Linked DNA regions of Medicago truncatula. The main gene of each other region encodes a partner of the protein of the gene in region 3 in a complex. Links are inferred from orthologs where the notes say so. Each region holds a gene or a part of one and is shown on either strand. Other genes may lie near its edges.

The links.
Region 1: the proteins of NADH dehydrogenase [ubiquinone] iron-sulfur protein 1, mitochondrial (region 3) and NADH dehydrogenase [ubiquinone] iron-sulfur protein 4, mitochondrial are in contact, whole or in part, in a cryo-EM structure (PDB 7AR8), measured with the Arabidopsis thaliana proteins. The link is inferred for Medicago truncatula from reciprocal best matches to the Arabidopsis thaliana genes EMB1467 and FRO1. Residues at the interface, in NP_568550.1 of Arabidopsis thaliana: Gly61, Gly62, Ala63, Arg64, Val65, His66, Lys87, Gly88, Phe89, Thr90, Gln93, Glu96, Val97, Asp101, Arg104, Tyr107, His108, Ser109, Leu111, Ser112, Ile113, Ala135, Gln175, Glu178, Cys179, Asp180, Asp183, Asp266, Lys288, Ala289; in NP_201560.1 of Arabidopsis thaliana: Ile55, Tyr57, Ser58, Pro59, Ala60, Arg61, Thr62, Ala63, Thr64, Gln65, Ser66, Ser68, Leu71, Val79, Thr81, Leu82, Lys83, Glu85, Thr92, Asp103, Lys126, Lys128, Lys129, Asn131, Thr132, Pro133, Leu134, Leu135, Lys136, Val137.
Region 2: the proteins of NADH dehydrogenase [ubiquinone] iron-sulfur protein 1, mitochondrial (region 3) and NADH dehydrogenase [ubiquinone] flavoprotein 2, mitochondrial are in contact, whole or in part, in a cryo-EM structure (PDB 8BED), measured with the Arabidopsis thaliana proteins. The link is inferred for Medicago truncatula from reciprocal best matches to the Arabidopsis thaliana genes EMB1467 and AT4G02580. Residues at the interface, in NP_568550.1 of Arabidopsis thaliana: Val203, Lys205, Val225, Ser229, Gln235, Asp236, Leu237, Gly238, Ile239, Leu240, Gly241, Arg242, Gly245, Glu246, Glu247, Gly249, Thr250, Tyr251, Val252, Glu253; in NP_567244.1 of Arabidopsis thaliana: Asn33, Tyr34, His35, Leu36, Val90, Met93, Ala103, Ile105, Arg106, Tyr108, Glu109, Thr112, Phe113, Tyr114, Ser115, Arg119.
Region 4: the proteins of NADH dehydrogenase [ubiquinone] iron-sulfur protein 1, mitochondrial (region 3) and NADH dehydrogenase [ubiquinone] iron-sulfur protein 6, mitochondrial are in contact, whole or in part, in a cryo-EM structure (PDB 8BED), measured with the Arabidopsis thaliana proteins. The link is inferred for Medicago truncatula from reciprocal best matches to the Arabidopsis thaliana genes EMB1467 and AT3G03070. Residues at the interface, in NP_568550.1 of Arabidopsis thaliana: Pro167, Leu168, Asp169, Cys170, Pro171, Ile172, Met198, Lys199, Arg200, Ser201, Val202, Val203, Asp204, Val214; in NP_566191.1 of Arabidopsis thaliana: Ile69, Ala71, Pro83, Ile84, Glu85, Phe86, Ile87, Cys88, Asp90, Leu91, Lys98, Tyr99.

The regions. Positions count from the first base shown.
Region 1 is NC_053045.1:47,953,446-47,960,299, reverse strand, and holds the start of NADH dehydrogenase [ubiquinone] iron-sulfur protein 4, mitochondrial, read right to left. Parts: upstream 3,013-6,854; 5' UTR 2,926-3,012; coding exon 2,776-2,925; intron 2,374-2,775; coding exon 2,285-2,373; intron 1,691-2,284; coding exon 1,561-1,690; intron 1-1,560.
Region 2 is NC_053043.1:51,113,724-51,121,194, forward strand, and holds the start of NADH dehydrogenase [ubiquinone] flavoprotein 2, mitochondrial, read left to right. Parts: upstream 1-4,454; 5' UTR 4,455-4,555; coding exon 4,556-4,612; intron 4,613-4,704; coding exon 4,705-4,737; intron 4,738-4,824; coding exon 4,825-4,890; intron 4,891-5,233; coding exon 5,234-5,350; intron 5,351-7,176; coding exon 7,177-7,254; intron 7,255-7,350; coding exon 7,351-7,456; intron 7,457-7,471. Other genes in the region: formamidopyrimidine-DNA glycosylase, read right to left, coding at 42-93, 199-427. UniProt on the Arabidopsis thaliana protein: Core subunit of the mitochondrial membrane respiratory chain NADH dehydrogenase (Complex I) that is believed to belong to the minimal assembly required for catalysis. Complex I functions in the transfer of electrons from NADH to the respiratory chain.
Region 3 is NC_053044.1:32,876,067-32,883,677, reverse strand, and holds the start of NADH dehydrogenase [ubiquinone] iron-sulfur protein 1, mitochondrial, read right to left. Parts: upstream 3,010-7,611; 5' UTR 2,814-3,009; coding exon 2,411-2,813; intron 1,081-2,410; coding exon 834-1,080; intron 220-833; coding exon 1-219. Other genes in the region: nicastrin, read right to left, coding at 6,385-6,649, 7,587-7,611.
Region 4 is NC_053045.1:37,849,131-37,856,337, forward strand, and holds NADH dehydrogenase [ubiquinone] iron-sulfur protein 6, mitochondrial, read left to right. Parts: upstream 1-4,426; 5' UTR 4,427-4,513; coding exon 4,514-4,636; intron 4,637-6,070; coding exon 6,071-6,155; intron 6,156-6,294; coding exon 6,295-6,404; 3' UTR 6,405-6,692; downstream 6,693-7,207. Other genes in the region: transcription factor-like protein DPB, read left to right, coding at 1-68, 197-265, 403-501, 1,153-1,223, 1,500-1,731. UniProt on the Arabidopsis thaliana protein: Accessory subunit of the mitochondrial membrane respiratory chain NADH dehydrogenase (Complex I), that is believed not to be involved in catalysis. Complex I functions in the transfer of electrons from NADH to the respiratory chain.

The DNA.
Region 1 (6,854 bases), on a different chromosome or scaffold from region 3:
TCACACTCTTATTAATTGGACCACGTCATCCATATTTCAAACAATTTATTTGGCCACTTGTTACTCAGTTTCGCATAACATTTTTATTTTTTTTACTTTGGATTTCACAGTTACGAAGCAGTAGCAATTTGAAGGGTCTTCTCCATCCAACCACCACCACTATCCACCATTCTTTCTAATTAAAACCACCATCAACAACCACTCAAGTTCAAATTTGCAACGTAAGATCAAATAATTATAAAATTAACAAAAAAATTAACAGGTTGCATAAACCAAAGACAAAGCCAATTTGCATCAATTCCGATGGTTTCATAAATTGAAAATCTTTGAGTGGCTTAAGAGTACAAGGACCTGCTGAAGAAACAACCTCTGCTACTTCCACAATGGGAATCATTGTTTCGAATTTCTTAGATGGGTGTTTCTTTCGTGGATTCCTCTCCTGGTGATGGTGGGGCTTCTTCATGGATTGGATTTGATTTGGGTAGTGAGGATCTTAGGTGGGGTTGGTAGTTTTTAAAGGAGTTATGGTTATGGGTTGTAGCTCTGCTGAAGCAATAACCCAGTTGATTTTTTATTTTATTTTTGGAATAGAATGGGAAAGAAGTTGAACCTAGAAAGGTGGGGATCTAGAGTCCAAGGACCTGCAGTCACACATGGATGACTAAAGACCCCGAGCAACCGTTGGCCTCTTTTTTCCAGGAACAAAGTCATACAAAAATTAAAAATACACCAACTGGTTAAGCCAGTTAACAAGTTATAAGGTCGTCGCAGTGTATACAGGCGTGTGCTAAAAAGTGAGTGTCTGCGCGTTTGTATTTAGCATTTCTGTCTTTTCTATTACTAGCATAGCATTGACATGAGAAAGTTATAAGGTCTCAAGCTTAAATCCTCGTCCCAGGCACTCTCTAACCTCGGCTTTTGTTTCATAAGTGCTGTAGTCTCATCCTAGTCCTAGATGCAGAATGAGCTCAGTCTTTGTCCAAGACATGCTCTACCTTGTCGTTATTTGAATGCAAACCAACTCCCAACTTATGTTCTAGATGCAGCTTGAGCTTACCAGTCCTAGTCCTGGAAGTAGTTTAAACCCATCTCAGGTCAAGTCTATCCCTCATCTGTTTCTATTCCAGATGCAATCTGGCCATATCTGTTACAGATGCAGGCTTGCGCATCTGGCTTCATCTCATGCAGAAAATAATAGACTTATAAATTGAACTTTTTTATTTAGCAGCCTAATACTTGAAATTTTAAACGAAATTAAATGACTAACAAACACAGTAGCCACAGTTCAATGATAAACTCTTCATATCAGTTGAGAAGCAAGATATGCTGATTCTTGTAAGTTAGACTGCTCGGACAATATTGAAACCCTCATTCTATAGATTGTGATTTTAAGTTAATATCCTAGGCGAGACATGAGCAAGAGAAGGTGAACCAATCCATCTGATAATGGTTTACTTTAATAAGCACAAGTATGAAATTATGAATCATAACTGGAGCACTTTGAAGGCTTAGAAAAACATAAAATTTTATGTGACCTATGTTTGAATGGCAAAAACATACCACGTATTCCCAACCATGTCTCTCTGCAAATTCCTTTGCCGCTTCTTCAGTATCAAAATCCAACGCAGAATCACCAACATGGGAATATGGGTCTCCGGTGGATGTCCACCCCATCAGTGGATTTTCCCACCTATAGACATATTAGTTCACAGTACAAATTAAACTATTATTAGGTATTACAAATTTAACAATAAGATCAGTTAAAGAATTAAAGTATAAATTCAGGATATTATACTGAAACAACTAGCAACTCCTTAAACTACTTAGAGATGCCCAGGAAGAATCATAACATATGTAAAATAACATAGTGATTAAAACTCTGAAAATTTCCACATGTGCAGGAAATGTAATGTCAATGATAGCATAAGTTCCGCTTTTATGAATGAATTTCGATAAGAAATTTGTCAAAAATCGAGATATATGGACAACAGGGAAATGCATCCTCTCCATTTTTTTTCTCTCAAATTTTCTTAAGTTTCAAATCTCAACTCTTCATTATTATAAATTTCAAAACTCTTCACCCATTATATTTCAATGATATAGATATTCCACATTATTTCCTAGTGTTTTTCCTACATGAGAGAATCCTAATCCAGACAACAGATATCCAGCGCAGAAACATCAAACTTGTTAGGGAAAAATAATAAATAATTCGAGTTCTAAAACTAGTAAAACAATATCTAAACAAGCAGTGAAAGAAAAATGATAAACAGAGAGAATTTACTTCTGGGTTGATAAGAAGTTGATCCTCCATCTTCCAACATTCCCAGATCCTTGTTGACCAGCAGTTCTAGCAGGTGAGTAAATCAAAACCTGCCATCACATTGCAAGTATAAGCTAAACGCCTAATTGAATTTCAATTGTTAACAGGTGTTTAACAGGTCAATTATTTTTTTGTCTTTAAATGAAGTGATAAACACCACCTAAAACTCACGCAGACAACTGCAAAGTCCCGGCTTGGAACCCGGGTGAAGGTGTCCAGCCTGACAATATCGGCATTGCCGGTTAAGCTAAGTCCATTACATAGGATCTAATGATGCATCAATTATTTTGCAAAATTTCAACAAAACAAAACTTCAATTGAATCTAAAACAATTATACTACATATAAAAAATAAAAACTTTTATTCTACCATAATAATGAAACAAATATAATAAAATTGGGGAATGAAAAACCGGAAGAAAAAAAAAAAACGAAAAATTTAAAGCATAATACCCTTCTACGAAGGTGTTCTTGTGGGATTCCAGAAACCAAACCGATCTCGCCGGGTTTGGACTCAACCAATGCATCAGTGGAGAACCGGCGGATGAGGGTGGCGCGTAGGGAACCACCGCGACTCGCCGTGCGTAGCAGGATGTTCGTCATCGTTTGATGGGAATTTTGATTCTGCGGAGGATGGTGCCAAAGACAAAATGAACCTCCCGAGCCTTTCTCGTTCGCTTTTGTTCCGATAAATTTTTAGCTTGGCCCTTTTACTTTTACATTTTACAAATTTTCCCTTTCTTAAGAGTGCTTTTTAAAATTTTAAATGGTAGCAATAATATATATTAAACATTATTATAATATATTAAAATTACTATAACCATAATATAACTCTCTCCGATCAACATTTCACTTTTTAAATTCCTTGTATAACTAATATATTTGATTTATATTACAAACCGAATATATTAGTTATTCAAAAAATCTAAAAAATCATTTTTTGTTTATAATAGAGTCTGAAGGGAGCATATTAAAAGAACGTCTTTGTATGAATGAAGGATTGTGTATTGTTAATAGGTTGATAATAAATAACATAAAAAAGTATATAACTAACAAATATGTTAGTGATTCTAAATTTAACTAAAATATGATATTTCATGATCAATTAATTATTCATCTTTTTCTAAAGTTCTAGGTCGGTCTTTGCTGGCCTTAAAATCATTGGAATGCACAACAAGTGTAATATGTCATATATAACTTGTAATGATACGGGCCTTAGAAGACAAACTAAAACATTATGGATTATCCACTAAGGAAATCGACTTTAAAAAGAGAAAATACACCCGATTGTGAAGTATGAATGAAGAGAATTTATGATGTGTCCATTTTAGCATAACAAAATGACATAGTGTAGAAACTGAAAACAACCCCAATGTCATCCCAAAAAACTAACACACCAACATATAAGGAGTTTATAAGCACTGACATGCTTCTAACACCAAGGAGCGTATATCAAATAAATATGTGTAAGTGGCTATCTTGATAATTTTTTACGGTGACAAACAACACATATCTAGTAACGACCTCAACAATCACTAGAGTGAAAATAGTAACAAGATTAAGTGTATATGAGTGCATATAATATATAAATAAGGGGTTCACCCCTAAGTATGATGACTTGTTATCCGTTTTCATATTCGTGTCAAGGTATGTCTTATCTTACTTTGGCATCATGGTGTCTTTGCAAGTACACCTTCCTCGCCTGAAGAAGGAGCGTATGACTAGAGATGTGAAGATTACATCATCGACTTTGATGATCCATTTTGTGTGTTCACGCGTGAACATTGACGCCCACTGTGGAGCCCTCAGTAAGATTTACCAATGCATTAGGATCCCATTATTATGCCGGTTACAAAATGTCTAACATGGTGACTCTAATGTCTAACATGGTGGATCCATAAACTAGAAATTCACCATTCAATAGGCAAGTCAACTGATACAAAAGTTTCCTTTATCGGTGTTTTCCATCTCCAAGAAGACACGAAGTAGAAGGTCCCAAAAACCATGACGCGTCACCGCCTCGATGACATTGTCATAAAGAACAAACACTAGATAACACCATGTATAATATGAAGGCCCACAAGAAGAAAATGGTCTTAATCAAGAAAAATAAAAAAAACAACGGAGTAGTTCATCCGCGAAAGACAACGACTATGATAACATAAAACTCCTTTCGAATTGCTTTATGATCTTTATGCAATGACTCATGTTGTTTATCTAATCAATATATTACCCATTCCTATTTTGCAAAATCAGACTCCTTTTGAAATGGTGTATGATAAACCTCTGACTTTTCTGTTTCTACCTTGGAACAACATTGTACTAAAATTGATCCACGAGCAATAAAATGGATCTTCTTGAGATTCAAATTTGGTACAAAAGGTTATCTTGTCTTTGATCTATCTACTAGATAAGTTTTCATTACAAGAAATGCTATTTTTTCATGAATCTACTTTTGCTTATGTTGAAATTATTGATTATTTTTCTTAGTATTGATTGTACAAATCCAAGATTATTCAATTTTTCTGTTCAATGACCTTGTTGATTCTGCATAATGCACCAAAACAAATTACACTAAACCCATCTCTAATCCTTGAACTTCAGACCTACCATAACTTGTGACCTTTCATCGTAAAATATTCTCAATCCTTACCAAAAACTAACTTTTGACACAACCAAACTCAGACGATCCACTAAAACTATAAAGGCTCTTAACTGTCTCTAAGATTTTCATTGTCATCGTGAAACTCAACTATCCTCTTATACACCCAATTTGATGTATCTTTTACACTTTGTACTATCTTATCATAAATTATTTCTATCTAATCTTCATTACACATTTTCCATTTCCAATGCTATTGAACGCAAACCTATAAGTAGGCTATCAAATTACAAAAAGGGATTAATGCCATGACCAACAAACTTCGAGCCATTACAACTAAAAATGCTTGGTCACTAACCGCCTTATCTAAAGATAAAGTTGTGATTGGTTGCAAATGGGAGTATCGTATCAAACATAAAGTTAATGGCACTATAGAACGCTTTAAAACATTCCTTATGGTCAAAGACTACACTCGACAAGAAGGGGTAAACTCTCTTGATACCTTCTCACTTGTTGCTAAAATAACTATTGTATGTCTTTTACTTTCCATTGTAGTTGCTAAAGGAAGGATTCTTCAACAATTGGATGGAGTTGGCATCAGGTCTCATGCCTACCTCTTCTAATCAAGCATGTTGTCTCAACAAACCCCCTTTTGGTCTATGTCAAGCAAGTAGGCAATGGTTTATTAAATTGTCTTCTGCAATTATCATTATTGGATACCATCATTCAGAATATGATCACTCCTTGTTAATCAAATCATCTTCTCATTCCTTCACTATTCTGCTAGTTTACGTAGACGACATTGTTCTCACAATGAACTCCACATAAATCAATGTTATTAAAAGTCTTTTCTATTCATCCTTTTGCATCAAAGACGTAGGTAATCTCAAGTTTTTCCTTGGTCTTAAAGGTTCTCGTACCAACAAAAGAATTCACTTATGCCTATGTAAACATGCCTTAGGCATCACGGCCTCTAAATCTTTCCCCACTGATTGCGACCTCACTTGCAAAATTGGTCGTCTAACGCCCCCATCGAAAGTCACTATGATATCTTTGTATTTTGGTCACTTCATCGCCAACCAGTTTAAGATCTAATGTATTTGCTAGTGTTTTTATCGTTGTGTTTCTTTGCTTTTGTTTTGCTGTTATTTTTAGTTTATTTCAAGTTTGTAATACCCTAACTTTGTTCATTTTTTTATATTAATCTATTTTGTTCTCTTATAAAAATTGATAAATAATAACACTCATTAGATTTCAGTCATAAAATAAATAACATTCATTGGATTAATTTTATTATACAAGTCTCTTGTTTTGATTCAACTTAAGTACAATAAAAATACAAGATTTTGGATTACAAGCTCAAGGTCACAAATTAAAATTCAAAATACTCTGTTTCTTGTATTAATAATAATCTCATGATAAAACAGAGTTATAATATAAAAATAAAAATGACAAAAATAGGAAAGATATAAAATGAAAACAAAATACAGAAAAACTGTCTCACTAGTTGAGAAAGAAAAAACAAAGATAAAAAACTATGGCAAAGTATATGCATCGTATCCTTCCTCTTGACTCTTGAGGGCTCCTCCCAATTTATCTTTTTTCAATTGCTCTTTTCTTTTCCCTTTTTGAGCCGTTGTACCTTTGCTCATTGCTCTACATTTTCTGAAAATCACCAACTTTGCATTTTTGTCCTCTTCCTCCTAGCTACTTTATACTAATTTTTGGGTATAAATATATGAGACAAAATCAGAATAATGGAGACGAATTTTTTTGCTACCTGAATCACTGAAAAAAAAAAGAAAGTGGATAGAGGTAAGCTTCTCAATATTCATCATGTGTTGCTACTTGTTACTCTTATCACAGTTTCATCGTTACATTTTTGTAGCTCTCTAGCACTTGTTCCTTTGTCTTTCTTCTCTGATAGTAG
Region 2 (7,471 bases), on a different chromosome or scaffold from region 3:
TGTCGGTGTAACCGAGCTTAACGACACTCCATTGGCCTCACCTTTTATACTTTGTTACAGCAACACCCTTGATGTATACAGCACCAGCCATACCTAACACAGTCACAATCATAAATCGTAAGAAACTCGTAAGCTAGGGTTTCAAAAGGTAAGAGTGAGAGGGAGAGAGAGAGAGAGAGAGAGAGAGATAGAGAGTACCGAATTGAAAGGAAGGAAAAGGAGGAGAATCAAGCTGAAGCCACATATTCTTCCCCTTCCGGCGAGCTGCAACAATCTTCTTCCCAACAACGGAAGCTTCGAACTCTTCGCGAGAGACACCGTCGATGACTTTGTTATCATCGGCGACGATGCATTTGGTTATCTTCTTTCCGATACAGTTCTCTTCCACCGCTCTTCTCGCCGCCTCTACCTCCGGTAGCTCCGGCATTATGCTCGGTCGTGACTGTGATGGAGTTTTCCCGCGTTGCTTCTCTGTTCTTTCAAGCACGATATTCTATGTTATACCGTTACGATTCAACATGCGTTTAAATCGTGTCCGTTCATAGCGGTTTTGCTGCGGGACAAACAACGGCTGTGATTCCACGCCCATTAATTATTTTCTAATTTTTTTCAATTTTTTTTTTTATATATATTTCACCAAATTGAATAAATGCAAATGAAATGGAAATATTCTAACACCTTATTTGATCCATATTATTTTTTGGGAAATGCTAACCGGTGCCCCCGGGTCCTGGTTAAGGATAATAAAAAGGGAAATTATATATTAATTATTGCATTGAAAAGGGAAATTATTACCATAAAATGAAGTTTTGTTGACTTATTTATGGATTAATTAAACAATTTTCAATGCAATAATTAACATATAATTTCCTTTTTATTATCCTTAACCAGTGCCCCGGGAGTACCGGTTAGCATTTCCCTTATTTTTAAGCATAGTGGATTAATGGTGCAAGCTAGGATACTCCAAAATGGAGACATATTGCATCGGATACCAATGTTTCATGGATACTTTTGGATATGTATCCACGGAGTATCGGATACCAATGCTTCATGAATGCTTTTGTGAAAATGTATCAAGAATTCTAATGGTATGAGGTAAAAATTATTTTTTTAATTCTCAACAAAAACAAAAAAACTTATATTTATTAACGATGTAGTTAGACTTAGTTGAAAATATTTTGTTCGTTCAAGACATTGTACCTCCAACTTTCAAAAAAGGGAAAACAATGATGGAAATACGCCTTCATATATCTTGTTTCTTCTAATAAAACATATGAACAAATTATGAAAAAATATACACAAAGCACGTAGATAATAAGAAATTGGTTGAAAAAATACATGTTTTAATAATCAGTTAAAAACAACTATTATTCAAGAAAGTAAAATGCCTTCGTAAAAAGTTCCAACATTGTTTGTTGAAAACCACGTAACTAATCATAAATCAGTTGAAAACATAAATATGAATAATAAGTTGAAAACAACTCTTATTTAAGAAAGCAAAACATTTGAGTTTTAGTTTCAACATTATTTAAGATAAACAAATTTAAAGATATTTACCTCAAAAAAAAATTTCATCATTTTCAACCTGTAAAATTAACACAATGAGAAAGGGAGAAAAGTGAGAGAACAGAGAGAAAGAGAAAGACAAAGGGGTTTATCAACACAAAACGTAAATGTTTAAATTTATATTTGACAAGGGGTTTCGTAAAAATGTTTTTCCATTGACGATCATTATCAATGAACTTAATTTCATAAATACCATTCTAAACAGAGTCTCTTATCTAATGATGTTTAATTTCAATATGCTTTGTCGCTAGTGTAAAATAGGTTTTTTGGAAAATCAGATAACATATGTTTTTTCATAGAAATGTTACTCTCATTGGTTTGGTAACCTTCAAGTTGATATTTCATCCATAGAAGTTATGTGACATACCTTGTTGACAAGATGTATTTTGCTTATGTAGTAGATAGGGCAATTGTGCTTTGCCTCTTGATTTAATATAAGCATAAACTTTCGCCAATAAATTGACAGATACCACTAGTGTTTTTTCTTTTAATTTTATCTCCAACATAGTTAGCATTATATAATTAATATAGTAACTCGTATTCAAATGATTTTTTTGCAAAATAAACCAATGTTAGCAGTAAGATATATCTAAAGATTAGCTTAGCTGAAGTTAAGTGAGATTATTTCGGTATACCTTTTGATCTACATTGTCACTTGACTCATATTTACAAAGTGATCAAACGGAATAATTAGTGTGTGTGGATGGCTTACGAATTCTAACATATCATAATATTCATTAACCATTTACTCAACATAATTAACAATATACTATTACATTATGTAATCCATCAAAACAAAAATAAAATAAAATTATGTAATGCATCTAAAATGGCAAGCTTTGAGGTCAAACTAACACAACTCTAAAAAAAATGTACCCAACAATTAAAAGTGTAAGTTTACTACACATTTGTTGGGGGATTCAAGAGGAGTTTTCAAAAATTTAATCCTTTTAGCGAAACAATCCCAATAACGAATATTGATTAAACCATTAATCACAATTCAAATGGAAACCTAAACACAGTTAAAGATTCATGTGTTGAAGTGATGATGGGAAACGATGCAAGATGGTCATGAGCCTCGCACAAACGACATCGCCTCTACTCAATCCACATGAGCACAAATTGAAACATTGTGATATCCGTTCCATGCGAGGGATTATGACTATTAAGTTTTACATGCTTAAGTAGTGCATGCTCTTCTTCTATTTATAAAGAACAAGTCACCAAACCCTTGATGCTTATTAGATTGGGTTTAACCCAAAGTAAGTCTAATATCAATTAAATTAATTCATATTTAATTAATTAAATTTCAACCCTCTTTTTTGAACAAAAGTATATATAATTAAATAAATATGATTAATTAAATATCATTTAACATAATCATTGAACTTTATACATGCGTCTCTGTCGATTCTTATAACGTTAGTAATATCATCAAATGTTATATTTAATATCATAAACAACGAGCGATATTAGACAACATATTACTAATGTTATATTTAACGAGCAAAAAGACGTGCACTCATGTGGCCGTCTTTCCGTTTTTTATTGTTTTAACACGTGTAGATTATGAACTATATTTTATAAATTTTTTGCGTGTGAATTGCAAACGATATTTTATATAGATTTTTTTATATAGATTAAAATTATAAGTATAGATATTTGTGATTTTCAAATGTAACAAACTCAACAAATCATATTTACATTTTTCAATGACAACAATAATATAACAAATATAACAAAAATTCTTATCTTTTTAAATAACACCAACAATATGATATAGATTAAAATTATAAGCATAAATATCTATATCTATACTATATATAAAAAATAGCCCCTTTTGACCTTTTTGGGATGACATTTTCTTTTTCTCATATTACCCCAAACTTTAAATACAAATAACACTTATAATAAATAGATAATAGTAAATTCAAATACTTAAAGAGTGTAAAAAATTCAATATTTATTGTCTACGAAATATCAAATTTTTCCTTATCTTTTTTTTGTTGTCAAGTAGCCTAGTGGCTAGAGCTTACACAATTAAATTATGGAGAAGTGGAGTGTCCGGGGTTCGAACCTCGGCCCCTGCATATAATATGCAATATCCCTACCAACTGAGCTAAGCTCACGAGGATTTTTCCTTATCCTTTATTCCTTTAAAAAAGATAATTGATGCAGTGAATTCAAAATAAATAAAAAATGTAACAAACACGATATGAATATATGTCCAAATTTTCTTTATGCTTTAAAAAGTGAAACAAACTAGACCGAACCTATATAAGATTTTGGACTGACTTTTTCATTATCCGAATTATACTATAAAATAATTTTTTCTTTAATAATGATTGTTGTCGGTGTCATTACAAAAATAAGAGTTTAAATTATATTTTGTTATTATATTTTTGATCTCATTGAAATAGGTAAACAATGCTAGTTTGATTTGTTATAATTTAAAAGCAACAATAATTTATATTTATACTTTTAATCAAAATCAAAATTTCATAAAAAAATATCGCTCATAATTTTCAAACTTTAACGCGATAAAAAGAACGAAAAGACGAATACTTGTATTCGTCTTTTCACCAGTTATTATATAAATTTTGTTTAAGAGTATAATTAGAATAACAAAAATCAGCCCAGAATCTTTCTAAAACCTCGTATATAGTATAAATATCTAAAGAAACATATTACTACTACCTAAGTGACGAAAATGTCATACAAACCAAAATGATCGGCCAACAATCACAAGAGTTTAACCCTGGTACATGCCCATGACGAGATTCGAAGTTTTGAACCCAAACAAAATGTCGCGCAATCTCATCCATACATGTGTCGACATAAAATTGTTATCATCGAACGGTCATCAAGGTGCCACATCTCTACATTCTCTTACACTACACCCTTCTTCACTACTCTCTCTCTCTCTCTCTCTCTCTCTCTCTCCCCCTCCCTCCGATCCATTGTTTGGTTTCACCTTGTTCCTCCCAAAATGCTAGCACGCCTCGCCGCAAATCGTCTCAACCAGATCCGTCAAACTTTCCATCAGGTTTTCTTTTCAATCTCTCACTTCTATTTCTTCTTCGTTTTTATCTTCAATTTGTTTGATTTTTTTTCTTCCGTGTTTTCCCTTTTTCGCAGCCATCAAGGGCTTTCTCAACCGCTCTCAATTACGTAAGTGTTCTTCAAATTATCCTTTTCTTAGTTTTCATTTTCAATGTTGTGATTGTTGATTGTATCAATTTTTGAATTGGGTTGCAGCACCTTGACTCTCCGGACAATAATCCCAATCTTCCATGGGAATTCAATGATGCTAACAAAGCAAAGGTAATTTTTTTATTGTTTTCAAATTCTAAAATTTCAAACTTGGAATGTGTGATGATTTATCAATATGTAGCTGTAATTCAGCTCATTACCCTTTACTTTGATTATTGATGATTAATTGAGTTTAACATTTAGAGTTAAAAGCTAATTAGAGCAGAAAATAATGCATAAGAGGGTGTAGAATTTATGAATATATATGCTTTACTGATTGGTTTAATCAATAATGTTTCTATGATTTTTGGATTATTAGTTCCGTATTGATATTATGTATGTGATCCTGTTTAGTTTCTAGGATGTGTTTTTAAGATTCTAAAGTTCCAATGATTTTAATCTCTGTTAATTATAGGTTAAGGAGATTATATCTCACTATCCATCCAACTATAAGCAATCTGCAGTGATTCCTCTGCTGGATCTTGCCCAGCAGCAGCATGGAGGTTGGCTTCCTGTTTCTGCAATGGATGCGGTATGTTGAACTCTTTCGTGAAATATTCTTATTAAGTCCAGATAAGATAAGATCAGAATGATAGCTTTGTATAGAGAGCTGGGGGTAGCATCTGTTGTAAAAAAGATTAAAGATTATTGCCTTCGGTAGTTGGGGCATGTTTGGAGAAGACCTGTAAATATAGCAAAGAGGAACAAAGGGCAGATTAGATACTGTATAACAGGTAGAAGTGAAGGAAGATCATAGTATTCAACTATAGGCTAGACTATTTAAAGGGGTTTATACATTTGTTTTTTGGAATGACAAATGTCAGTGTTATGTTTTGTGTGGGGATAGAACTCTTAACCACCTTATCACTCCACTCCTTAACTCCACCACGGTCTCACCCCACCACCAAGCCTACCTTATATCCACTGAGTTTAGATTTGAATGGTAGTTCATGGCAGCCTTTTTTAAGATGGTTCCCATTAGATTAGTCAATAGCGCGCTATAGAGGCGTAGCAACAAGAAACCGCTATGGTGGGTGTCGTAACGGCACGGTTCCAGATAGTGCCCGCTGTAGCTGCTATATTGGTTTGCAGTAGCGGATCCTGACCTGCTATTGGATTTTAGCAGGAAAATTACAAATTGGCCTTAATTTTAAAACTATGTTATGAGACCCATGGTATTGTCTTCTATCCTATGTTTGAATTATGTTGCTTTCAGTGTATTTTATTTCTTGCAATGTGTTTGTAGTTTATTGTTGTTGGTGTGTTAATTTTTCATTTTATCATATTATAAAACTTTTGGTATGCTGTGTACGCGTGTAATACTTTTATAACAGCCACCATATTTCTGTTATAGGCATCAACGCTATCCAATAAACTTAAATTTTTATAATAGATTTTTAATTTGCTGTCACAACTCACAAACCACCATTTATAGCATCCATTGATTTGTGTAGCAGACCTTTCACAATTGAAAAAGGCTTTGGTTATTATTGCTGGCGATATCTAGAAGACTAACCATTCTATGTTTTAAGTCTATGCATGCATCAAGGTTTGGTTGTTTATGTACTCAACACTCTTTTCCTTAAAAAAAAAAATGTACTCAACATTCTTCTATATAAGTAGTCACTATCATTTATGTTAAGGCCCCAATGTGAATTTAGGCTCAAATGGGCTGATGCCCCATCAGCTGCCCAAGCCCACGGCGTAGGGATATTTTTTAGGAAATATAAGAAGAGCAAGGAAGAGAATGCTGACGTGGTAGAGAGTGGGGGTGGACTAGTTGTGATTAATTTTGTTATATGGATACAAAGGGGAGTGAACGGGTATCTTTGAAATCATTGGTGAGTTTATGAAGCACGGATACGGATACGTACACCAGACACGACACGGACACTGACACCGCTAATAATTTGAGAAAATCGCATAATTCAGTGTAATTATATGTGTCGGTGTCGTGTTGGTGTTGGACACGACATGTGTCCGACATCGGGACACACCTAATTCGAGGAGTGTCCGTGCTTCATAAAGAAGCAGAGAGTATTCTTCTATGTAGCATGCTCTGGGTAGTGTGAATGTGATTCCACTGATAGTATTTTCCATTTCATAAATAATACTTGATACGTTCTCCATTATTTCCCTTTATTCAGTGACAGTGTTTTATCCATTAATTTCTTAATTTTCTGTTCTAGTTCCTATCAGATCAATTTAATTGAGTTTTGCTTGTAATTTCCTATTGCTATGGTACACCACCGAAAGTCCTAAATTTACATATTGTTTGTAAACTGAATAATAAATTTCTTAATAATGGTAGAAGCTATTTAAATCCTTTATTAACAAACAGTTTTGTGAATCATTCAGGTGGCTAAGGTTATAGAGGTTGCCCCTATTCGAGTATATGAGGTTGCCACATTTTACTCAATGTTCAATAGATCTAAGGTGAAAGTCATTTCTTCTGCGTTGCTTTTATTTCTGCTAATTCACAGTAGTATAGGCCAAAACTTACTGGATCAACCGCCTGCTTTGAATTTTCAGGTTGGCAAATATCATTTATTGGTCTGTGGAACAACACCTTGTATGATACGAGGTTCACGGGAAATTGAAGCAGCTTTATTGAAACACTTGGGAGTGAAACGAAATGGTTAGTTCACCTTTG
Region 3 (7,611 bases):
GTAACATCAATGGTCTCTGTATTCTTCAACTCCCAATTCCGGGCTTTAAATGCAAAAGGTTTTGAAGTGAGTGCTCCTACAGGGCAGATATCTATTACATTTCCAGAGAGTTCACTTGTCATGAGTTTTTCAACATATGTTCCAATCTCTTCTCCACTACCACGACCTAACATGCCAAGATCCTGAACCCCTGCAACCTCTGATGCAAATCTAACACACCTGTGGGAAGAAAGTGATATTCCACAAGATCCATTAAGGAACTCAGATAAAATAATCACGATACATATAACATTTAATTGACAACAAAAAGAGGAAGGCTACCAAATATTGAAGATTAGGTTTTACAAAATAGCCAACGCCTATTGCTACCAAATGTCATTAACCATAAATTAAAAGAAACCTAGCTGGCCCTTAGCTGACATGAGAGTAAGTAAAACATACAACCAAACTAAATCATCAGTTCAGATTATTTTATTTTTGAAGAGGCATCAGTTCAGATTATTATTTTAATCATATACAGAAAAAGTTGACCCATAAGTTCCCTCGCAAACTATCATACTGTAACAATGACCACTGCTTAATTTAAAAAAATAAAAAAATAAAAAAGATATATATATATATATATATATATATATGTGTGTGTGTGTGTGTGCAACTCAATGAGGTCCTTAATTCTTACAAGATTATCATAAACATACTCTATTAACATGAATAGACCACTTGATACTTTCTTTTAGACATTAAAAGTCACAACAAATTTCTAGCTTCCAAGGTAAGATATAGTTATTAAAATGTGTACGTAAAGATAATCAAGTTTGCAGGGAAAAATGAACCTTGTACATTGAATGCACCGTGTCATCACAGTCTTTACCAAAGGTCCAAGATTTTTATCCACCACAGATCTCTTCATATCAGTGAAACGACCACGATCAGAACCAAATGCCATTGACTGATCCTGAAGATCACACTCTCCACCCTGATCACAAATTGGGCAATCTAATGGATGATTCATCAATAAAAATTCCATCACTCCTTCTCGTGCTTTCTTGGCAATAGGTGTGTCGGTCTTGATTTTCATCCCTAAATTGAACATATGATCATATTACATTTTTAACAAGAATCAAAACAATAAATAGTTAAAAACCTCAACTAAACAAAATCAAGGTCGTTTATGTGTGTCGGTGTCATAATACCAAATGAATTTAAAAGTAAGATCGGGTAAAAAAAAATAGATGATATCCCCAAACCAGCTAAACATATGATAATTTTATATCAAATATCTCTCTAATTAAAAAATTAAAGTAGAAAGAAGTATAAGTTGTAACGCAAAATCTGAAAATCAGCGTATGCAAAAAAAACTTAAAGACAAAGTACTAGATTTTATTTTTGAACAAAACTAACAGCAAAAATAAACAGACAAAAGCTAAATCAAAAATAAAAACAGAAATTTCATCGAGACGGTTAAAAGGAAATGTAATAGATGGTTCACTAGTATCAAAATTCATAACACGTTCAACAAACTAAAAATTTGAAAATAACAACAAGCAACAACACAATCATCAACCAAGTTCAATACCCTTAGCCTTGAACTAATCAAAAGATCACTCAAGTCACAAACAAGATGAAACTCAAACAACAACAAACAATAACAAACGTCGCAATAATGTTCTATCATATACTCCCTCCGTTTCATAATACTTGTCCATTTTAGAGAATAATTTTGTTTCACAATACTTGTCACTTTCAAGTTTCAATGCAACATTAATTATTGTCTTGTCAATAATGCCCTTGCATATTTATTGTAGAGAAAAAAAAAAAGAAATAATAAATGGTTAAGGGTATTATAGAAAACACACACATATTTTCATCAAAAATAAGAAAATTTATTTGGTTTCTTGGTTACTGCAATTTCTCCAAAATGGACATGTATTTTGAAACGGAGGGAGTATCATATTTCTACCCAACTAATTAATCTCTACATATTTCTCAATAGTTTCTCTTAAAGTCTTTCTAGGTTAGCTTTGCTTCTAGTGATCAGACTATTCTCCATCTAATCTACACTCCTTACTACAAAATCTACAGGTCTTTTCTCTACAAGCCCAAATCACCTAAGTCGAGTTTCTACCATCTTTTCTCCAATAGGTGGCTACCCCAACTCTATCTCTCTAATATTGTGTTTTTAATTAAATTGTACCACACATCTAACACAACATCCTAATCTTTGCTATGCTTATTTTACTCTCATGTTGATTCTTTACCGTCCAACAATCCATCACATGAAACAAAATAAAAAAAATAAAAAATTAAACTTTTTGAGATAAACAAAACACATACAAAAAATTATCAATGAAATGCAAATCCAGAAACATAAAATAAATAAATAAATTAAAAAAAAAATGAAGAATCTAACCAGGAAGAGCGGGCATGGCGCAAGAAGCAACAGGCTTAGGAGATTTCTCAACCTCAACAAGACACATACGACAATTTCCAGCAATGGAAAGTCTGCTATGATAACAAAATCTAGGAATATCAACACCAGCAACCTCACACGCTTGAAGAACAGAGAATCCTTTTGGAATTTTAACGGGATAACCATCGACGAAAACCTCAATAGCGTCATCGGGATTGGTGAAATGGACTCTAGCGCCAGCGACGGGTGTACGGGGAGTGAGATCGACGAGAGGCTGTTCGGGTTGGGGTTGAGCGGCGGGTTCGGGTTTGCGGAGTTCTGGTTTGGTGGTGATTGAACGGAGGAGGAGGAGGCGAGTGGTGGTTGGTCGGAGGGTCTTGGAAGCTAACAAACCCAGCCCCATTTTGATTCAATCAATTGATTGTGAGTTTGTGAGAAAGAAGGGTGTTGGATCGGAGATGGGAGGTTGAATTTGAGAAAAGATGGGAGAGTGAGGTGGGAGAGGTGAAGGAAGAAGGAAATGAATTTTGTATGGAGTTATGGGTGAGATAGTTGAATTGATCCGATTTCAGATTCGGGTTTGCTTCGGACCCGTTTATCACATGCTCTTAGGCAAGTAGATATATAAGAGTTGTATTATTTGAATAACCATTCATGTCATAACTTCTATAGCTATTGACGGGAAAGAAATTAAAAATATAATATTAGTAAGAAAAAAAAATTGTCATAAAATGATTGTACAAATATCATTTATCAAATAAAGAAATGATATTTGTACGTTCATTTTATCACGACTTTTGAGATAACTTTTTCACTCTATTCTCAATATGTTTTTACTTTATCTTGCTGTTACTTTGATTTTTGTGTCAATACCTATTTTTTCTTTATAAATATATGGTTGTTCAATAAGTTGTCAATCAAGTGGTTGTTCAAATAACACATCCCATAATCTTTTTGGAAAATGTAAAGACGATGTCTAGAGATATTGGTTAAACAACTAAAGCAAATAAATTTTTAAGAAAATGGAGTGTAATCAATATTTGATCAAACATAAGAACTTATATACTTTCAAAACAAATTTTTTATTTATGGATTCCTTAAGCAATGTCCACGGGACACGGGCACAAATCCACTATATTAAATGGGGGACATTTATCCCGTGAGCTTAACTCAGTTGGTAAGGATATTGCATATTATATGCAGGGGCCGGGGTTCGAACCTCAGACACCCCACTTCTCCACAATTAAATTGTGTGAGCTATAGTCACTTGACCAAAATAGGGGCACTTGACCCTACTCCTTCAAATATTTTGTAACTAGTCATTAAAATTTATTGCCCCCTCTTCAAATCTAGCTTTGACCCCGCAAAACCACTAATTGAAACTTTATTAGATTGATTAATGTATGAGTTTTGCTAACAAATTTTCCAAGGACATTGTTTAAGGAACTCTCAAAAGAAAATTGTCTTAAAAATACAAGTCAAACGCATATAAAAGTCATAATTATATATTTTCAATGTAAAAGTTACTAAATTTTGTTGTATTATTTCATCTTGTCGTTTTTTTTTTTAGCTCCCTGTTTTCTAACTCTAGGATAGAGTTTGTTAGGCGACAAACCAACGAGGTTGCCCATGCTCTTTCAAGAGAAGTCACGTTACTAGCTAGTCCGGTTGTTTATTTTAATTTACCCGAATGTATTGAAACTCTTATTATCAATGAAATGCTATAAGCACTTTTCCATAAAAAAAAAAAATGTAAAAGTTATTACTTTAAGATGCTTAAACAATGCCCTAAAATATTGAAGATCAATTTTTAATAATTGTTTAGTTACATGTAGAGAAAATGATATATTTGAGAGTGTATAAAGACACGTGAAGAGAAGCTATATTTTTTAAATGTTAAGGTATCTTCAATTTTTAAGAAATAATGCTATAAATTTTTTGGCTTAATTATAAGGATATTACGCTTCAAGAGAAGTGGAACTCACTCGAATAGAGAGTCTAGGTTCGCGCATTGATAAAGGGTTAGTATAGTTAAAAGGCTTTCAATTCCCACAATGTAAGTGAGGATTTTTGGGAGCATAATCAAACTCATGTATGATCTTTACAGGTTGAGAACATCAAGCTGTTTCATGGTTTGCTAGAGTTAAATAAGTTACTGATCATATTCAACGTTCGGTTGGCCGTTTGGCTAGCTCACATCTCAGATGATCTTTTTTTTTGTTGAAGAAGCTAAACTAACCTATCTCAATTGATCTTTAATGACTCAAGTTCGTATGTTTAGCTATGTAGTGAGAACAACTGATTTTTGAATGCATTGATCGTGTAAAATTGTTTTCGAATAAAAATGAGCTGAATGTAAATTGTAAAGTGATATTTGTTTTTCGCGATAAAAAGCTCAAAGCATTTCTTTCATAGTAGTATCTTGAATAAAATGTTGAGATTTGGGATATCAAGAGAAACGTTCAATCCAACTAAAAATGGGGTCACCTTTAAAAGTGTATGGACAAGCTCATTGACTTATATATAGACAAACTCAACATGAGAGTTCCTTAAATCGTGTGACAAACTACGAGCACGATATGAAATAAATTTAAGAATAAATATATATTGTTGAAGCAAAAGCTCTTAATTTAACTTTAAATCATTATCCAGAGCAAAAACTAATTCTACTTAAAAGCAATCAAATATGTCAAAATCAATTATGTTTGAATTCACGAAAAAGACTTTGTGATAAAGTTGCAAAGCGTAGCTTTTGCTAAACTCTCACCTAAAATGGAACCAAACATTATTGAAAATAGTGACCAGTTTCAATTTCAAACGTTATTGAATCTTCATCGGTTTCAACTAACACTAAGTTTATACTCCCTCCATTCCTTTTCTTTTGATGTTTTAGAACTTCAACTATATTCCAAAACTTTTGATGTTTTAGTGAATTTATTATTGTTTTCTCAAGTTTACCCTTGTTGGAAAACACAATAAACTATTAAAGTACTTGTGACCTTTGGTTTATCACATGTGAATTTAATGATAAATAAGGACATTTAAGTAAAAAACACACAAATGTTTATATACTTTAATTACTCCTTAAAATTTGTGTCAAGAGCTAAAACATCAAAAGAAAATGAATGGAGGGAGTAGTATTTAGGGCGTTAATAGAGTAACCGTGTCACCTTTCATGCCTTTCAATATAAATGCTTCGGACATGAAGCCTATTTCCAAGTCTGCTTTCAGCCTTTCGATTTCAATGAAGAAAAAAATAAGCACGTCCACTAGAACTTTGGAGAACGTTGTACCAAAAGAAGAAACTAATGGCTTATTAATAAGCTTAAGTCTTTTCAATTTAATCAAGACACTGAGATGGTTTGATCAAAATAAAATAGATTTAATTCATATGCACAAATAGTCGATCACAATTGTTGAATCGCCATAAAAATAATGATTTGTGATTGATTACCAATATAAAAACTTTAACACCGACAATATATGAAAATTAATTTCAAATCAAATATCGGATCGATTGAAACCTCTTTTGTTGAGAAATATTGGGTAACATCTAGTAGTATATTTGATGTCTATTTCTGCTAAAGTATGTATTGATTAATGTTTAGAAAATCAAATTAAACGTTACATCTACTATACTTAGGTGTCGCAATTCAATTAGCTTAACTGGAACTTTAATAATTTAACAAGGATTAAATTAAAAATTACGCTGCTGCTCACTAACTAGGACTACAGAAATACACAACACAAACACACCAAGCTTTTTACTTTTTGTTTTCATTACATTTCCTAACACTTAACTACAAGTGATAAAAAATGGTCTTGTTGCAGATAAATTCACAAGCACAAGAATGTGGCCTAAATAATTCACATCCTTACAAATTTTCCAGAAACTAGTAATTTTCCTATCAACCTATTTAATTTTGCCCTAGTTTCACAAAATTTAGTAGTTAGCTTTCATAAATTTAATAGTGTCAATCCCTCTTTGTTGCTTTGGCAACGAAAGTTCTTGTAACTGCTATTCCAAGGTATGCCAAGAGTGTAAGAGTCATTCCCCCAAACAGAACAACCCGGTCATAAGCAGCAATTTGGACTGTGTAGATCCGAATGCCTACTGTATTCCAGTTACTTTCTGTCCAGACTGGATCTACGACCCCCATTTTGTCTGAGGAATTTGGGGGCAAAACACTCCATACTCCTGATTCAAATGATAACCGTGTTGAATATGCTGGAACGTACCTGTAAAAGATTTTACATCAATATTAAATTACCGAGCATCAACTTAGCCGTTTAATCATGTCAAGTTCACAAGTGCAGTACCAGGAAAATGGAAGCGGGCATATAACACGTGAACAGTCTAAACATGAAAAGCATGAAGTCTACTCCAACTACATGCATCGCATAAGCAAACTTAACAAAGGTGCCAATTATGACATAAATCTTAGAAACAGTATGGATTCTGTAATCAACTGGGTTAATCCAAATTTTTACCAAGTGTGGTAAATATGCATGCACATGAGTGTGAGAACCTGTGAGCGTGTATGTGTAGAAAGTCAATCCAACATATTTATAAACACATGATTTGAAATTAGCCAAAATCACATTTTATACAACCATTGTCAGCTATTATCTGCTTCGTGAAATATCAAATATTCAATTTAAAAGGTAAAAATATTTAGACATCATCCTAATCTGAAAACAAACATGGATTATACTTTATGGGAATCGTGGTTAGGCATAAATAGTGAAACAAATTGGGGGTACATCCTGTTGAAATTCGGGGCCTAACTCATCCTTACTAAACCGGCTTGTAAGGTGAGGATTGCCTCCTCTATATCAAGAGTCTTATCTATCCGATGTGGGACTTGGGTTTTTCCCAATACATCCAAGTTCCATTTTAACATAAGTTGGACTCGGGATCGGGACATGGAGGAGTTTTCCGTTCCATACATGGTTCAGTTGTGTTCCCATAAAAAAAATGCAGTACTTATCCAATTATGCACGTTGTAAACCTCAATTCAATTATAGGGGTAGAATCACAACATCAAATGATAGCAAGCATGCCTAATCCTGGAAAAGAATACCGATAAGAAACTACAGATATATCCTAAATTCAGGACCAAGAAATGCATATCCGTTTACTAAATCTATAAAGTACATTTAGACAAAAAAATACCTAGTTGTAGAGAGAACACAAACTC
Region 4 (7,207 bases), on a different chromosome or scaffold from region 3:
AGGATAAAAAGGAAATTCAATGGAAGGGTCTTCCTCGTACTAGTCTGAATGATATTGAAGAGCTAAAGGTTTGCCCACAGTCTTGAGTTGTAACTTTTTTTGCTCCATGTGTCTTATGCTTTACCTGCAATGATATTCTGAGCTAATCCTAAAATTCAATGAAGGACCATTTTAATTGCTTAATTTGATTTAACAGACAGAGCGTCTTGGGCTCAGGAATAGAATTGAAAGGAAATCATCCTATTTGCAGGAGCTAGAGGAACAAGTAAGTCCATCCTACTCAGAATATATTTAATATGGGAATGAGATCCTTTGCTGCATTTGAAATTGCACTTGATTATAATTACTTCATTTTGTAGTGTTCAGTTTCTGTTTGCTAACTACTTGCATTGTTGCATCAAGTTTGTAGGTCTTCAGAACCTTGTTAAACGAAATGAACAATTATATAGCTCTGGAAATCCTCCCAGTGGAGGTGTATCTTTACCCTTTATTCTGGTACAGGTAAACCATCATCTCAACTTCCTCTATTGTTTTGTTTTGTTTCCCATAGGCTCCCTTCACTGGAGGTAATAATGTTTGACACTAAATGTGGGCACCTCTTCCAGCCGGGTTTTGCGTTATGGGAGACTAGCCTCTTCTGCTATACCCAACCTCAGTTGGTGCCTCTTTTGGTTATTTTGTCCAGTAGCAAATGTTGCCAATTTTTCCTTGGATCTTCAATTGTATGATTGACACCAATTCACTGCACAACATGTACTGAATTAGTTGACTTGAATTTTAAATTATTAAATTTATTGTGAGATGGTTTCTCATTCCAGTTGCTTAGTGAATTCATAGAAATACCTTTTTCCCGCTTTTGTGAGCATTTGTATTTTGTTTGAATTTGTCTACTGAATGTAACAGCTACACACACTATGAACTAGAGATATTTTATCAGCTCATTTGGTTAAGTTAACTTTACTCTGGTTGCCTTTTGGCTTTATATCTGCTCAATGCTATGTCGGGTCTATATGTTAAATTCTTGGCCACAGGAAAGTTTATAACTTGATAATTTTAATGAAGAATCTGCTTCTCCTGCTGGCGGATGTGATATGGCTCTTAGTGGTATTACCATTTGATTAATCTCATATCTCTGGCTTTTTAAAACTGTAGACACGTCCTCATGCAACTGTTGAAGTGGAAATATCAGAAGACATGCAGCTTGTTCATTTTGATTTTAATAGGTAAAGCTTCACTTTCCTTTGGCATTCTTTCTAAGTTATGGCGTGATTATCTAGGTCTGATGTTGTCTTATTCATTGTGAAGACTTCCTAATTAAGTATCGTCATAAAATCAGTAATTTGGAACTAGTGTCTCCTATTATGGCCAAATAGAGGCCACTAAAAGAATTTTCATGTAGAGTTTCTGGGAGGCTGTTATGGTGGCATTGCTTTTGTGTCTTTGTCGTGAGATGTACTGCCACTTCCTATTTATATTTACTCTCTTTTCTCTTTCTGCAGTACTCCTTTTGAGTTGCATGATGACAATTATGTGCTCAAGGCAATGGAATTTGGTGATAGAACACAGAGTGATATTGTTACACACAATGTTACAGATGGAGGGGAAGGTTCTAGCATGTCAGGCATGCATCAGTCACAGGTTCCTCCTTCAGCTTCAAGCGTGTCAACTAGACCTCCAACATCACCTCCACTCCCTGGAATATTAAAAGCAAGAGTCAAACAAGAGCATTGATCTGCAAGATTATGATATCGTCGTACCCTAATTAAGCATGTCTGTACATTCTGTAAAGAAATTTTCCCAATTAATATACCTTCGTGATTGTTAGCTATCAATACAGACAAGTCATTTGGTAGGTCAGCAGCAGAGTGGTTTGTTTGCCTCTTTATTGTTTAGGTTAGACTCTTTTACTACCATCCATCATTTACTACCTTAGCAGATTTTTTTTCTCCACATTTTTTGTGGTAACTTTTCCTGCATTGTAGCTAGAGAGATAAGAGATCATGGAATGGAGTCCAACAACATAGGATTAATTTCAGATTTCCCCGATTTACAGTGTAATTTGTAAAGTTTTTCAACTTATGTGGATATTAGTTGTGGTATTTTGACCAATGCATCTTGTTTTGTATCGTTTGATAGGGTCCTTGTGAGGCTCTCTGTGGTTTCTTTCAACTTCAATGGAAATTTTGTTACCTGATTTTTGGCTGGAACATCATTAACAGCATAATGGATTTAGGTGTTATTTAAAAAGGAAAATTATATTCACCACCTGTAAGTTATTCTTAAATAGCAAAAGCACCCCCTCTATTTTTAAGTGAACACTAACGTACCTTATATTTCTTCAAAATGACAATCACCTCTCTTCCACTTCCACCTTAACACTGTTTCTTTTTGATTAAATTCTCCACACTCTCTTTAATTGTATGAACCTTCTTTCTTTGCTGCTCCTCTTGCTAGTAAGTTCCCCTTTTATTCATGGAAAGTAAAATCTACCGAAACACAAATCAGTCTAACAAACAGGAACAACAAAAAGAAACAACATAAGCACATCAAAATATTGGTTGCAAGTGCAGCACTGCCTTTTATGTCGGTTTGTGTGTTTTATTTGATGACACTAATTTTGTCGAGGAACATATGGAGAACATAATTTTATGGTTTTCACAAAATTCCTGTTGGTATATATCTTTTTATGCGAAGGAAGTTATGACGTCTAACCTTAAGAAGTTTTCTCTCTGTATATGAAACTGTAGTCTAAAGTTGTTATCCTTAGGGGAGGTTTGTGTTTTTGGGAAACTATAACAGGTGTAATTGACATTTGAGTAAAACTTACGGGAAATCAATGTAATTTGCCCAATTTAAGTATGTTTGTCTAGAATCATTGTCTTCCACTGTGCCCTTGTTGTAGTGGCTGTTTGTCTAGATTATTAAATGTCAACTTCAAGGATGGGAATTTTCTGGTGAAAAAATGTCATACTTACGAATATATGAATGATATGCAAAATTTTCTGGTGAACATGTGTTTAGAAATGCAAATTCTCATCTTGATTCTCGAGGAACAAAAGTGACATACTTACAAGTTACAAGAAAGTATGAATGATATTTGTAGTTCTTGAGGGACCAGAATGTTCTTTTTTAAAACTCGGTATCCAATCCAAGAATCGTACCGCCAACTTGCGGGGGTTCCATTTAAAGTCAGAACAAGCTCTGTATGGACTTAGCCCACCGAAATTGGCACCATGGGATGAGGGGCCAGAATGTTATTTTTGCACTCTCGTGTGATACTTTGACTCAATCTTCATGTCACATTAGAATGTCCCTAAACGTGAGATTGTTCTGCTATATACAGATCAATTTATTGGAGACATAGTTGATGTTGAAGATCCGTCAAAAAAAAAATAATGTTGAAGCATATGGAAAATGTTGATATCATGCACTTTTTTTTTAATAAGTTGATATCATGCACATTACTTTGTATGAGTGGAAATTCTCGGTTTCTAATCCGCGATGTTATGATGAGATAACTTAATTTCTTTCACTGTGAACCGTGGTGGAACTTCTTGGTGATGGATGGGATCATATTTAGAATGATTTCCATATGTTAAACCATAAATTATATTTAAGTCCTCTTGAACGATAAGATGTGCTATCGGTGCTCGAGCATGAGAATTCTCCTCTATGAATTATATGTCTTTATTTAACTCCTCTTATGTGTGTAAAAATTCAGAATATATTGACATTATCATGAACTAATTGCAGTTAATCATTTGTTAAAGTTTCACTGGTTGTGACTTATTCTCCTCTTTTCTAGTAGTTGCAGAATATATATTGGTGCATACGATATTTAGACCATGTTTGAATGAACATGATATATAACTCCTTATAACACAATCTAAATTACTGTAAGTTTTTTCTAAGCTATAAGTTATTTTCCATAAACTATTAAGAATTTGGGAAAATAAGTGGAAATAACTTATGGACATGTCATAAGTTTTCCACAAATCTCTAAAACAAGTGTCTATGTTAGTAGATAATTCAAATCAACAAATTTATATAGAACAACAGTGTATGAGACATTTTTAAAGTTCAAGTATGAGGTGTAACTTTTATCACCTTCCATAAATGTGCGTTAAAATATAAACATCATCAATATATATTCGTTAATTTTGTCACTGGTACGAAATTTTCACCGACTTGACTAATCTCTACCAAAAAAACCTAGCTAGTTTTAGTAGTTCTCCTTTCTTTTCTAAACCATTTCTTTCCACTAATTATTTAATTAAGAGAGTATAATTTAGACAAAGATGTGATGTATTATAAAACATAGGGGGTACGGATAGTAATCTAGATGATGGGCCAAAGCATGGGATGACCCGTGAGGAAAAGACCGAAATCTCCCAATCAAGCGTGTCGTTGGTTGAAATTCAATCAATTTTCCATTTGATTCATTTCATTTCATTGATCTAAATCGAGGTTATTTCTTCTTTGTTGATTTGCGATTGAAATTAGGGTTCGTGAAATGGCATCGAGCATTCTGAAAAACCTCACAAGATTTTCTTCATCGACGGCAACGACCAATGCCACGAGAAGTTTCAGCCTCGTAACCTCTCAAATCAGCAACCATACCGCCAAATGGATGCAGGTATCCTTGCGATTCACCTCATACGTTTGATTTAGCATTGTTTCAATTCTAATTTGTTACATTGTTTATTTGATTTCATTGAATTTTTTGAAATGAGCGGAGAATAATGTGACTAGGTTAATAGTTCTCTTCCTAATCGGGATTTTTATATATTATTGATTAAATTTGCTGATATGAGGGAATTCTGTCGCAATGTATATAAATTATTGATATGCATTTGGTTTGTTACACATTAATGGATCCTGAGATTATATGAGAAAGGGTTTGATCCTTGTTGGCATATTAGTTTAATGAATTGGGGCCTGTTTGGATTGGCTTATTTTTGAGCTTATGCAAAACAATTTATGCAAATAAATAAGCTTTTATGTATTATTCATAAGCTTGCTAAGGTAGTTTATGAAAAAGCAGCTTATGAAGATACAATTTTTGTTAGTGAGAACTTATGAATTAACATAAAAGCTTATATATTTGCATAAGCTATTTTTCATAAGATAAAAAGTAAGCCAATCCAAATGGGCCCTTGGAAGGTTAAGATTGTTGGGGAAGCTGTTCTAGCGAACTTTGTATTTGGGAAGCTAGTTGTTTGTTACATGTTATTGCTCATTGTATACAACACTCAATCACACAACATTGTTTGAGCATAAGTGTATGGACCAGGGGAGAGATTAGAAGATGTGATAGAAAAGTTTGATGACAATTTGCCGCTTGTGAGGTTTTCTAGGTTACTTGTGTGGAAGAAATCTTCATTTTGAGGATGGAAACTTTAAGAAACAAAGTGAGGAGGTGTAAAGTTTGAACAGGTTTCCGCAACTGCTCTAACTGGATGCTGGAGTCAAGGGATTCCTGTTAGTGAATAGTTATATCCCTCACTCTAACTGATGCTTCAGGGATGCTTTTTCCTTCAATGTTTCTGAATTTGTTTAGTGATGTTCTGATGTTTTGGGGTTTCTCCCTTATTTATTCAAAAGCGAAATCAAAATACTTGTCATTTAATGCCAATGTTTTCTTTTTTTTGGCTCCAACTTCCAGTGTGTTGTGTTGTTTAAATTATTAGCTAGCTAAATAAATGTTTGGGTGAGCAAATGCAAAAGTGATTTTGAATGCAATTGATTGTGTAAAATTGAGTTTGAAGTGCAGTATTTATGTTTGGATGTTTTTACTCTGAAAGCAAGTTTGATGTAAAACCTTGTGTACAATTTTCAACTTAATACAAAAGCTACTTTTATCACTGCTAGCCAAACTGAGATCTGGAGACAAATAATTCTGGTGTGAAGTAACAAAAAATACCAGCATGTTTTCATGGAGAAAAATCATTTTTCATATCAACTGCATCCAAACATGCACTTAGCTCCACTACTGGAATTTTAAATCATTCATGCTTACTGATCTCTGCTCAAGAAATTGTGAAACTTACATTTGTTTCTTCTGTAATAGGATACAAGCAAGAAATCTCCAATGGAGCTGATCAATGAAGTGCCACCTATTAAGGTCGAAGGCAGGATAGTTGCTTGTGAAGGAGGTACATTACAAATTTTGCAAATTTCTATTCTCTCTTCTTCCTTGCATAAGCGAGAAAGAGATAAAGATCTGACAGGTCAAGTTTTGTTGATTATGTAGGAGGATTTAATTAATTTGGATATTGCTGTCTGTGATTTCAGATACTGATCCTGCCCTTGGACACCCAATTGAATATATATGCCTTGACTTGGCCAAGCCAGCTGTCTGCAAATATTGTGGCCTACGTTATGTTCAGGATCACCACCATTAGGAAATGCTGTCTACAAATCATCTGTTGTGTATTTAGGAAATTGCTGCTGAACATCATTAATGTGTTTTTGGTTACAATGTTCTCTGACCAAATCATATGATGTAACAAATGTACTTGTCTGTTACAATTTGCTAAATAAGAATATGACAAAATTGTTCATGTTACCATCTGATACAGATGGGGTCTTACATTGTTGTGTCTGTACTATGCTGAGCCAGTAATTTGTATGAAGCTGGAGGTATAACTTCATTGAGCGATCTTTTTTAAGTATTATTTCATAGCCTGCAAGCTCGAAGTCCATGATAATATTGCCATTCTCGAATCAAAGTAACAATTGAATGCATTCTTAGTGTATGTTTGGTTCAGGTGCGACAAATTCAATTTTTAATGAATGATTTTGTAAAATTGATTTTGGTCATTAGATTCAAAGTGAGTCCTGACAAAAGAGTAGCATGGCTGGTTTTATAAGATGAATTTAAGTATGTACGCACTCCTTTTTCTATTAAGTAAGGAAAACATAAATACTTCCATAGATGCTCTTTCCTCGGTGACCTTCTAGTCACATGACAACAACTTTATCAGTTGCACCAATGTTACCCCTCATTCCTTTTACTAAGAATACATAAATAAAATCTAGTAAATTCACTCCAATTCGATACGAAAGTTGTAGTTTTTATTATTTTTTTCATCATTCAAGTACCAAATAAGATCTATACTTAAAATATAAAGAAATTAAGGTATTGACCAGAAATCCATTGCATTATTTAATAATTATTTATATTACAAAAGAGTATCTGTTACAT